Nothobranchius furzeri: one gene and its partner. The protein of the gene in region 1 binds, or shares a complex with, the protein of each later gene. Links are inferred from orthologs where the notes say so. Each region holds a gene or a part of one and is shown on either strand. Other genes may lie near its edges.

Region 1 (6,291 bases):
GTGCTATATAAATAAAGCTGCTGGCCACTTTATTGGGTACACCTTGCCAGTACCGGGTTGGACCCCGTTTTGCCTTCAGAGCTGCCTTAACAAGGTACTGGGAACATTCCTCACATGTTGGTCCATGCTGACATGATTGCATCCCGTTGTTGCTGCAGACTTGTTGGCAGCACATCCATGATGCGTCCTACCGCATCCCAAAGGTGCTCTATTGGACTGAGATCTGGTGACTGTGGAGTACAGTGAATTCACTGTCTTGTTAGAAAAACCAGTCTGAGATGATTCCAGCTTTATGACATGGTAAATTATTCTGCTGGAAGTAACCGTTAGAAGATGGGTACACTGTGGTCGCAAAGGGATGGACATGGTCAGCAACAATACTCAGGTAGGCTGAGGCGTTGCAACGATGATCAGTTAGTACTAAGGGACCCAAAGTGTGCCAAGAAAATGTCCCCCACACCATTACACCACCACCACCAGCAGCCTGAACCGTTGAGGCAAGGCAGGATGGATCCATGCTTTCATGTTGTTGACGCCAAATTCTGACCCTACCATCTGAATGTTGCAGCACACAACATTCTTCCAGTCTTCTATTGTCCAGTTTTGGTAAGCCTGTATGAATTGCAGCCTCAGTTTCATGATCTTAGCTGACAGGAGTGGCACCCGGTGTGGTCTTCTGCTGCTGTAACTCATCTACCTCAAGGTTCGACGTGTCGATGCTCTTCTGCACACCTTGACTGTAACAATTGGTTATTTGAGTTACTGTTGTCTTTCTATCAACTGGAACCAGTCTGGCCATTCTCCTCTGACCTCTGGCACCAACAAGGCATTTTCACCCACAGAACTGCTGCACACTGGATGTTTTCCCTTTTTCAGACCATTCTCTGTAAACTCTAGAGATGGTGGTGTGTCACAATCCCAGAAGATCAGCAGGTTCTGAAATACTCAGACCAGCCCGTCTGGCACTAACAACCAGACCACGTTCAAAGTCACTTCACTTACCTTTCATCCCTCATTCTGAAGCTCAGTTTGAACTTCAGCCGATCATCTTGACCATGCCAACACGCCTAAATGCATTAAGTTGCCACCCTGTGATTGGCTGATTAGTAATTAGCATTAACGAGCAATTGGACAGGTGTATCCAATAAAGTGGCCAGTGAGTGTATATTTTAATGCAAATTTTAGTATTTATGTATTTTTATTTGTACCCTTTAAATGTCCTACATCGCTGCAGCTACAATAAAATCTATAAAACTATTTGTTTAATGTCTATTAGTGGCTTGAAATTGTCAAATGGTGGCAAAATTACAGCGTAGCCAAATATTTTAGCGTTAGTTCCATAATAACCTCAACCGCTAGACTGGATCAGAAAGGGGAAGTTTTCCCACCACTAAGGCACGTTTCCCTTAAAACTTTTTCATAAATGAAAACTTGTTTTTACAGAAAAAAAGTGATTGTGTAACTGCTAATGGGAGAGGTGTTTGATTACCATTTATTCATCAAAGATGGAGTCCAGATGTGGATTATCACGTGGTTTTAGTATCTTTAGTCGATGTGTTTACCTCTGTTTTGTGCTGAAGTGGAAGGTTTGTGTGGAACTAAATAAAAGAGGAGAAAACTGCCTTCCTGCCACTGGGCTCTCTTTCTCTCAAAGTAAACAAAACTCAACGTCAATAGTTAATAACTTATTTATTACAGCGATTAAAGCTCGTGGTCCTCCGGGTGGTAAAGCTCACTCATTAGTCGATAAATGTATGAGGGTGCATGTCCTCCAATGTTGGAGATGAAGAGAGTGATGAGCTCAGGAGGAACGTAGTCGAACACTGGACAGTGTACGTTGACTTTAGAGAGGATCTCACCTGAAAAACAAAAAGATAAAACTGATTTCTTTCAATGGATGCAACTTTTCACCTGAAGGCTCAAAAGGAGGTTGTGGTAACGACTTACCTTCGGTGAAAGGGAGGACTTCGTGTGGGGAAACAAATTTATGGAAGGTGTCTTCCTCATTTGGAAACTGCAAAATAAATAAAATATAAAAGTTGAAATTGTTTGTTATTAAGAGAAAGAGCAAAGGTCTGATGGATGCGGGTGTTTATCGGACCTGAGGTGAGAGCTTGAACATCGGAGCACAAACGATGAGAGGTGTTGAGTGATGTTTGGCCGCGAGGGCAAGTGTATGTGTTCCATTGACGGCCCTCAAACCACCATTTGCTAGGACTGTCTGAGTACCGATGATGACCTGCAGACACATCATCACACAAGTTAACCTGCATGCCCTGACGATACCCTTAATCATCAGATGTGGAAAAATACCTTATTAACTCGAGACATGACCGCAAATATGGCCGCATCTGCAATCACGGTTGTTTCTATGCCCGCTTTTGATAGGCTGGTGGCCATTTCATGTCCCTATTAGAAGATAAATAAAGTTTTAAAAAATTATTTTAAACAACAAAGAGTTTAACTTACTTAGACCTCATTTGTCCGTGCTACCTGGCAGAAGGGTGCACACTCTGCTACGATGACATGGAACTTGCGTTTCCGCGCAGCGTCTTTGAGGAAGGCCTCTACGGTGCGAGAGCGCCCGATTGTCATGATGACCTCGTTGGAGTGAATGTGTTCCAGTGCCTGCATCGCAATGTTGTCAGTCGTTCCCTCTGAAAGAGTGAAGGAAGCCCAGAATTAAAGAAATCTCCTTAAAATTGTGGATTTATTCTGCTTGAAAACTAAATAAGCTTAATAAGAACAACTCACCCAGCTCCGTCAGCAACTCGTTGATGGCCTCGATGACGTTAGCTTTAAGAGGAGCAAAATGATGCCTGAAGTTCTCCTCGCTGAGTCCTCCAGAGGTCAAGAGCTTGTGGAGCGACTCCTGTTGGTCTGCTTCTTCACTGCTACCTCGAGATCTAAGGAGAGAATTAACATTGTGTCCTTTTGGAAGCAGGAATTAGTTTTGTCTGTTTTATGTTTTTATTCCGATTACACCCTGGTGCGTCCTCACCTGGCGTATTCCTCTCTGATGATCTTCAGCACCCTTCTGACCATGTTACCAACGGTGGTCTCTGAAGGCTGAGCAGCGGTCATTCTCCTGCCCTCTTTACGGATGATCTCCATGAGATCACCTAAGACAGAAAACGTGAAAATATCAAACAGGATCAGATCACAACAATGGTGAGAGCCAACAGGGGCACACAGACGGATAATTATGAGGTTTGACTGAAGCAACTTTAAATTAAGTTGTTATTGTTCGTTTCTATTCATCTGTCTGCATTCCCATTCATTTTTACATGTATATGGACACTGCTCCACATTTAATCCTATGTACGTCTTGTACTTACATAGCATCTGTACTAAACTAGGCGCACCGTTATGCTAATAGGCTAATATCCTGTTCCTGGAGCGTGGGTTTTAACAGCTAACATATTTCGCGGTGTTTCTCTCCACTTGTAGATCCTATAGCAGCTTGTGGATCTACTGTGATGTTAAGGTTAACTTTAAACTGAAGAAAGGGGACAAATGAAGCACCTGCGCTGCTCCACCGAGCCTGGGCGGTAATTTTGCGGAGTAGCGCCGTCGTTTCTCTGGCCGTTTCAGCCGAACCTCTCAGAGGTCCGGTTCCGCTGCCTCCCCGCTTCAGGTCCGACAGGAAAGCTTCGACCCTCTCCGTCAGGTCCGTTTCTTTGTACGGGCCCGGCATAGTTCAAGTAAAAACTACAGAACTAACCGGCAGAAAACAGATATAGGCGAATTTCTACCATAAAAATCGGGAACCGGAATTTCTTCTGAATTACATCCGGGGGACGCGGGTGTTCTTCTCTCTGATTGGTTGACTGATTACTGCGTCTATCTTCATCACCTTTTAAGCGATATCTTTAAAACGTAAATAAACTAGGCATCTCATCCTAAAAATACTTGATTTTTTTATTTAGCTTTAATGTTTATTCAACCTTTATTTAGGATTAAAGTCCATTTTTCAAAGGAGACTTGGCCAAAGGCGGCAGCATGGGTAAGAAAGGAGTTCGGGGCCTTTCCCATTTGATTTTGAATTTTAAAAAATGTCTGTCCTTCAACAACTAACGAAAAGTTATTTTTTGTGCTATTTTATTTTACTAATAAAAAAAATTAATGAAGTAATCAATTAGAAAAAAGCAGACAGGGCATAATAAAAAATATGTTAATTCAATACAAATTTGTGAAAATATTATGCACGTGTTATTTGCTCAAAACTTAGGTAGGTGAAGTTTCCTACCATCAAACACATGACCTAGTTTTAATCTGGGCAAATTTTTGATTTTTTAGTAATTTTGTTATTCTTGCATAAGTTTTACATAGATCATAATTTCTTGGTTACAAATTCAGTTTTCCTTGTATTTTATTATCTCCATGCAACAGAATACCTGTTTGGATCACTGTAATTTTTATTATAGGACTGGCAAAAAAAAAAAAAAAATTCTGAACATTCTTTGAACAGGGAAACACCTTTACAAACTTAACTCATGTAAATCCATCCAATATTTTTATTGAATAAAAGCCCAACACAAATTTACAAAATTTATCAGTCAACATAAAAATCACTGACTGCGCTGAATGCGCATGTTCCATTGTTAAAAATGTACCAGGACAGCCATTACTTCCTGTCAAAACCAATATGAAAACCTGCAAACACCCACATTGACGTGACCCAAGATTCAAACACTTCCAACGAAAAAACAAAAATAAAACCAACACTGGATGGATCTGCAAGGACTGTTATTGGAAACAATATAATCAGGTGTAAAGCAAAAAAGGGGCAAATGTCTGAATAACTTCTAATTTTTTGTCACAACTACCAACCTGCATTCTGATGAGAAACTTGCATGAATGCGTCATACAAACCATGTCGGTGCAAGAAGAGGATTTTTGGTTCTTGGATGATGGAGGTTCCAAAAACAAAACTCGAACATGCAAGAGATCAAGGAAGTGACCAAATTTACAATAAAGGAATATTAATGTGAAAATTCAAACCCTTCCAGTAGAAGCAACTAAGTGGCAGTTACAATATGAAAAACTAAAGACACAGTTAAATATAGCTACTGAGTGACACGACACAAAGTTTCAGTGGTTGCCAATTTCTGAAAGTAACAACAAACCATGTTTTCAATGAGCCCTGGTCGACAAAAGGACAGATGATCTAGTTTGCATGACATGGCAAAGAATGCATTTCAACAGAAGGGCAGAAACATTCACTCATGGTGTATCCATTCAAAGTGAGCTCAAAATAAAACACGATTCAACTGATGAAGGAATCTTGTTCAGGAAGCTGCAACAGTAAAAACGGTGCAGAAAGAAACAACCATCATCTCACTTCATTTCTCCTTGCAGAGCTTTTCTTGTTGACAGCTACGTAACAAGCAGATGTTCCCCCGGAGGAAAACCCTTTTCTCTCAACCTTGAAAACCAGATTTTGAGCCCCTCAGCCCCACTTGCTGTTGCTTGTTGACGCTAGTCCAAGAAGGGTGGATGCTGGGATGGGGTTGCCGACTGGCGGGCAGGGTTCCTCGGGGAACGGAGCCAGGTGAACCGCTCTACTCGATCAGCTTCTTTGCCTTGAAGAAGCGCCGCAAGTAGAAGACCTGCCATGTGGCCAGTCCGATGAGACAGCACATGGAGAATATACTGAAGTACAACACGCGTGTGTTTGTGGACTCTGTAGTGGTGAGATACAGGAGTTAACCACGTTTTATTATTGAAGTTTTTCTTTTTTATTAGGACTCTTTCCCAAAACACTAAGATATATATATTTATGTGACATCGATGACCTGATGGTTCGGTGGTTGCCTTACCGTTGGTGTCCCGCATCTCCTCTTCCCTCTTCTTCATGTAAGCAAAGTCATTCACGATGGATTCTGACAGGTCCTCCAGCCGCCTCAGCTCAACCTCCAGAGGCTTCAGTTTTTCCACTTTTGCAATCTGAAGGGTCAAAACGGAGACGAATGAAAACACTGACTAGCTTTATCAGTGGTGTTGGTTAACAACTTGTCCAGTAGGTGTCGCTCTGAAACTGTAAATAGAAGTGTGTGAACCTCACAGCTGAACCGGAGATGCCTGATATAAGGTCTCTAGAAGCCCCAATGATTCCTTGTTTCTTCTCTTTTAACACTTTTTTCTCTAATTTTCAACATTAATCTTGATTAACCAAGAATTCTGAAGGTTTGCATGTTTCAGTTTAGGCACTTATGTCAATGTTATACAGTTAATGTTGACTTTTGCAGATGATACTCTTTTATTCCTTCACATTAAATGTTTTAAACT
Region 2 (6,107 bases), on another chromosome or scaffold:
TGTAATGACTTTATAATAAATAACGAAATCATATTAAAGACTGTAGTTTTCTGTTTAATTGTTGGTAAACAACAAATAGGTACAGATAAAATCAATTTATCTGCCAAAATATTGTTAGTGATGTTTTGATTAAATCTGTATTTTTTAGCACTTTTGTTTAACGAAAGAAAGAAAAAGATCTTTTATATAGCGCCTCTCAAGTTAAAAAGCACAAGGTGCTTCACAAGAACATAAAACTCAAAATACAAAAAAAAATCTTCAAAAAATTATTTTAAAATATGGTAAAAATTAGAAGAAAAAGAAGAAGACAAAAATGAGGAGCTGTGATTAAAAATGCAAGGAAAGGGAATGAGAAAATGATTATGAAAGAGGGAAATCAGTGGATCCCAGGAAAGGCGGGATTGCAGGCAGAACAAGGAGAGGGTGGTGATGAAGGTCACGTAAAAGCCAGCTTGAACAGGTGAGTTTTGAGCTGCTCTTTGAAGGAGACCACTAGGTCCACTGATCTCAGGCTCAGGGGGGTAGAGTTTCCAGAGTCTGGGGGCCACAGCAGCAAATGATCTGTCACCTTTAGCCTGTTTTACCTGGTGCTGCACAACCATTAGGCTTTGGTCACCGGACCTCAGGGACCTGCTGGGGGTGTAGGGACTAAGAAGATCATTAATGTAAGATTGGGTGTTTGTCCATGCAAGGCCCTAAACCCAGAACCAGGATCTTGAGTGGCAGTGTGTAGTTTCCTGGCACTAGGGTAGTGCATACATTTCAGAGTAGTTTTACACCATTTCGCCATGACTGCCGCTGGTAAAAATAAATAAATAAATAAAAAATAAACATTACAGTAAACATTATCTGAGGAGCAGAAGGCATGCAACCTCAGACTTTGAGGGTCCTTCAGGTAATTCCATCGAGAGAATGCAATGCCGACTCTAGTTTTCTTGCGCTGCACTTTCCGGATCTGCTCTGGGTCCTACGCCTGCCAATGATGTCATCCCACTATGGCAATATCGCTTAGCCAAAATATATTGCATCTCTTTTCAATTCTGCTCTTTCACATATGTCTGGGAAAGAGTTTAGCAGTTTTGTTATTAAATCTGTTTCATACTACCATGTCCAGCCAATTATCTAGTGTGATGTCATCAACAGGCACAAGACCCCAAGACGGTCAAAAGGAAACATGGCGTCTAATATGGCACCCCCCAAATACGCCATGTACTTTAGTCTTGATGTTTTTGGTTATTTGTAACGAAGCTGCTAATGTTTTTCAACAACTGGACATCCTTTTATTCATTTTCAACAACATTTTGATGGATATTTCCAGAGATTAAAGGTAAAAACTACATTGTCTCATTAAAGTTAAGAAACTGGTGAATAGCATTATATTTACATTGTTGGTTCTTTTTTAAAACACAGAAAAGGTTTATTTTTTTTACCTTGCTGCTGACGCGTCCGCTCTGAGGAAGTTTGCAACCGCGAATAAAACTGTGAGCAGAAAGGTAAAAAATAAACCTTTTCTGTGTTTTAAAAAATAACCAACAATGCAGTTAGAAAAGCAACACAGCAAGCACATACCAAAGGACCATTATATTTGTTTTAATCCTTACTTGTGACTTAAACTGTGTGTCTATGTATTTATCTGTGAAAATAAGGCTAAAGCACAAAATTATGCGTAGACAAATACATAAAAGATGCTGTCCAAGTCCTTATGTCAAGTTTTTATTTTTATTTTCTATTTTAAGTTCCGGATTTCTCAAGTGAGTCACATAAACCTACAAGCTGTATTGTGCCTCTTTACATTTTATGTGGAAACCAAGAATGTGCTCCCCATAACTCTTCCAAATCCTGCCACTGAGACATGGATGGAGGGCACAAAGCTTACACGGAGCCCTCCCGCCATGAGATCTGATTGTTGAGAGGATGTTAGAAGGTAAATTACAGCGTAACTCGACATACAAGTCCATACAGTTTAAACGTTAGATGGCCCACATGTGTTTATGCTTATACTGCTGGATTTGACTTTTAATCATGTCGAAGGTGGGTTTGTTGTAGCTTATGTAGGGTATAAAAATGTTAATTATTATAATTAACGCTTGAGTTCTCACCTTCAAAGCCGACTCTCTCCAGCAGGTTCAAGGGATACCACATAAGTGGTTTGTTGCCAACAGGCAGCATAGGTTTAGGTGTGTTGTATGTTAGGTCAGTCATACGAGAACCTCCCCCAGCTGCCATCAACACCGCCTGAAGCTCCATGATGTCTGGAGAGAGAAACAGACTTTAAAAGAAAATAATAACAGTTTTTATCAAATGAACTGCCAAAACTAACATTAATGAACAGCTACTGGAAATCAAATCAATGCATGATGCCCTCACATCAGCGTATGTTCTTCTAGGTACACTTATTTGCTGCTTTAACTAAACTTTTGACACAATCCTGTTAAGGTCAAGTGCTCTGTGATGCTCACTAGCTGTATCAGATTGTCATCTTGTTGCAGAAATGCAGCACCAAACTTGCAAGAACTTTCTTCCCGGTTGCCTGCAGACAATCAAGTGTCCACACTGCAGGTTTTTGGCATAATCTTCTGAGATAATCTAGTAACTGTTGCCTTAATCAGAGCACCTACTTGGCTGCACCTAAGTTCTTATATTTTTGATAAGCTGTATGGGTTTGTCTGTATAATAACATGTTAAGAGCATTTCTTGTTAGACTAATTAAGAGAGTAGATATGTGTACCTAGGTCACACAGGTATTTAAAAGGTTTGTACAACTTTGAGCACATGACACTGCTGGACATCTTTAGAAATTTAAGAAGGTAGGCATGAGGCATCTTTCATCTGTTGGATATATATATATATTGTAGATTTATTTTCCTTACTCAAAGCTGTGAAGCTAATTTGAAATCAGTTTAAAAGATCTATTGAAATGAGTAAAGACTGATTATATGCATGTGTTGATTTTGTTTGAAATTCTGCCTAATTGTGTGCTAATTATGTTTAGGTTTAAAACATTAGATTGCAAACGTTTAATACCTTAATGAGAGGTTAAACGCGATATGAAAGATAATCTGTAATTATTTGTAAATGTACAGAAATATGAATCAATACATATATTGACAAAAGTAGTAAACGTTTTCTTATTTTTTACTAAAAACACATTCCTATAGTTTAACAGAATTTAACGTTTAGATTAGATTCATGACCTTGCTTGATTAGCGCAGCTTGAAATGCAGCAATAAGAACTGTGGGACAAGATGAGACGTGCCGGTGACTGAAAAAGCTCACTGAAAGGAAAAGTTATCGTCTCACATAAGGTTGAACAGGGCAAGAGCATCACAACATGCGGTTCAATTAAATAAATGCCAGTGACTTCAACTCGAGTAAAATGCCTGAACTCGAGAATGGTTAACATTTGCATACCTATCCTTAAATCCAGTTGCCTTTCGATGACAGAAGAAACAGACGCATGCAAGTTGTGATGAGTAGTTAGCACCTGGCTAACTATCGGTACACAGACGTAAACGATGCCGCTACTCAAATTAATGCTCAAAGTCAAACTCAGCTAGACAGCTCTTTTGGAAGCAAAACTTATCATATGATAAGCGTTGGTGAAAAAAATCAAAAAGCTTGCTGAAACACTGTACAAGAACAGCGTAAGCCAAGCTAACAGCTAGCAATAGTATGATGACATTGGGAGTGTTCAGTAAAATGTGCCCGTGAGGAAACTGATTCCTCGACATTTGTTCCTACAGAATATACCGGGTATTACCGCTGACGTGAATGTTATTACATGAAAGCATTATGGCTGTCTGTCTAATAATATGAATGTGTAGTTATTCAAAAAAACGGAAAGCACATGCACAGATTTCATTTATGAGAAAATTTAAAAACATTTTTTCTGAATAAGAGCTAAGATATAATCTAACTTTGTAATGATCTGAAGAAAGTGTGAAAATACAGATCTCTTTATTTATCAACACCGGTGATAATAAGTATTCAAAGATTGTTAATTGCAATATTTTCCTTATTTCTATTCAATGATACCCCCACCCTTTAAATTTTTGGTTTAAAACATTATATGAATGCATGTTACTTTTAAGCATGTTTAATGAATTTACTTTCACACAGACACCAAAATAGTGTGAGTATATTAGCAGCCAGAAGTCACACAGCCTCCAAACTTCAGGCCTGAAAACTCTCAATCCACAGAGCTGAGACGTAACAGAAAATTGAGCTCGGGGAATGTGGCTTTGGTTTTGTTTGTTCTGGCCAGGAGATGAGCTTGACTGCTCATTACTGCTTGCTCAAAACCAGGCAAGCAACAAGTGAGGAAAAAAAGACAAAGTACCGTAGCTTGAGTGAGCAACACCATAGAACGAAGAGTGCACACTGAATCCAGTACGCCGAATTTGGCAAAAGCCTGTTGGCTAATTGTGTAGGTGAACTGATTTATCTTTTTGCATCTTGTTTGCAGAGTATGCAGTAGGCTTTAGTATTATTGGGTTAAGTGAGGGCAGTAGAATCAGTGCATTGGGGAAAATGTATAGCTATCACAGATTAAGCTGTATGATAAAAGTCAGTTTTTATAAAGGAAAACGGAAAAAAGTGCACATTTTAATTTTTTTATTTTAAATAATAATACAATAATTTACAATAGTTTGAAATCTCACAAAAATGTACTGTGAACTGTAGGAAATCACAAACTCAGCATCAGCACTGTAATCCTTTTTAACAATAACTTACTTGTTAATTGCTGCCAGTTGATTACTGTGAGCTTCACAGTGTGTTCGTTACTGTGTACCTTCATAGTTATGAATGTAGACACATACAATTAAAACCTTTGTCTTTTTTAATGTCATGTCTGGATTGTTCAATCAATCAATCAATCAATCAAAGCTTTATTTATAAAGCGCCTTCCGCAACCCTGTCAGGAAGCCCAAAGCGCTGAACAATGTACAGTTGTATGTAAATATATTGAATAAATCAACAATAAAAGAAATTCAAATTACAAAATACAAATTACAAAATACAAAATGGAAATTACAAGATAGATGAAACATTCTGGTGAAGGACAAATGTGTGAAACACATTTGGATTGAGTGGATGGATTGAGTGTACCAATGAAAACTGTGGAATGGATTCAACATAAAAGAGGGCCAAAATCAAACATGTTCTGGAAACGCCAAGCGGAGGAGGTGTGTTTTTAGGTGATTCTTAAAGACTGGCAGAGAAGGGGACAGCCTAACTGAGGGTGGCAACTGGTTCCAGAGTGACGGTGCTAGGACTGAAAAAGCCCGGTCCCCACGGGTACGACACATAGACCGAGGGACAGCGAGCAGGCCTTGGTCAGAGGAGCGCAGAGCACGTGATGGGGAATGTTTGTTCAGGAGAGTGGCCAGATAGGGGGGACCACCACCCTGGAAGAAATGATAAACAAAGACGAGGATTTTGAATTGTGAGCGATAGCAAATCGGAAGCCAGTGCAGAGAGGCCAGAACCGGACTGATGTGGTCCCGTTTCCTGGTCCCAGTCAGGAACCTGGCAGCGCTGTTCTGCACAACCTGTAGGCGATGCAGTGTTGACTGACACAACCCTGCATAGAGAGAGTTGCAGTAGTCAAGCCGAGAAATAACAAAGGCATGCAGTACCCGCTCCAGGTGGGCTCTCGACAGCATAGGCTTGATTTTAGCAAGGCGTCTCAGGTGAAAGAAACTGGACCGGATCACAGAATTGATGTGAGCATCAAATTTAAGTCCTACATCAAGTTTCACCCCCAAACTGGTAACAACTGGTTTTGGGTATGGAGAAAGAGGGCCAAGATCAGCATAACGATCCACATTCCTGCTGTTGGGGTGAAAAACAATGAGCTCTGTCTTTCCCTCATTCAGATGTAGATAGTTGGACATTAGCCAAGACTTCACCTCATTAACACAGGAGACAAAGGACTGAATAGAGTGACCTTTCTCCTGACACAATATTGTTTTATTGTTCACAATATTGTGATTGTTCTGTTGACCGTTATCCTTGCCAGGTCATGCAACACTTGCAACAGAGAATAAAGACAGTGCTGCAACCCAGAAGTGATTCAGGTGGCTAAAAAGTCAGGAAGGCTCAAA

The links.
Region 2: eif2b2 (region 1) and eif2b3 share a complex: the UniProt entries of both Homo sapiens proteins name them as parts of the translation initiation factor 2B (eIF2B) complex. The link is inferred for Nothobranchius furzeri from reciprocal best matches to the Homo sapiens genes EIF2B2 and EIF2B3.

What each region holds. Positions count from the first base shown.
Region 1 is NC_091742.1:2,322,892-2,329,182, reverse strand, and holds the start of eif2b2 (translation initiation factor eIF2B subunit beta), read right to left. Parts: upstream 3,801-6,291; 5' UTR 3,698-3,800; coding exon 3,526-3,697; intron 3,123-3,525; coding exon 3,002-3,122; intron 2,907-3,001; coding exon 2,755-2,906; intron 2,658-2,754; coding exon 2,494-2,657; intron 2,410-2,493; coding exon 2,314-2,409; intron 2,240-2,313; coding exon 2,102-2,239; intron 2,015-2,101; coding exon 1,948-2,014; intron 1,860-1,947; coding exon 1,702-1,859; 3' UTR 1,697-1,701; exon of another isoform or gene 1,671-1,696; intron 1-1,670. Other genes in the region: tmed10 (transmembrane emp24 domain-containing protein 10), read right to left, coding at 5,565-5,686, 5,823-5,949. UniProt on the Homo sapiens protein: Acts as a component of the translation initiation factor 2B (eIF2B) complex, which catalyzes the exchange of GDP for GTP on eukaryotic initiation factor 2 (eIF2) gamma subunit.
Region 2 is NC_091751.1:54,334,121-54,340,227, reverse strand, and holds the start of eif2b3 (translation initiation factor eIF2B subunit gamma), read right to left. Parts: upstream 3,707-6,107; 5' UTR 3,412-3,706; intron 2,253-3,411; 5' UTR 2,248-2,252; coding exon 2,100-2,247; intron 1-2,099. UniProt on the Homo sapiens protein: Acts as a component of the translation initiation factor 2B (eIF2B) complex, which catalyzes the exchange of GDP for GTP on the eukaryotic initiation factor 2 (eIF2) complex gamma subunit.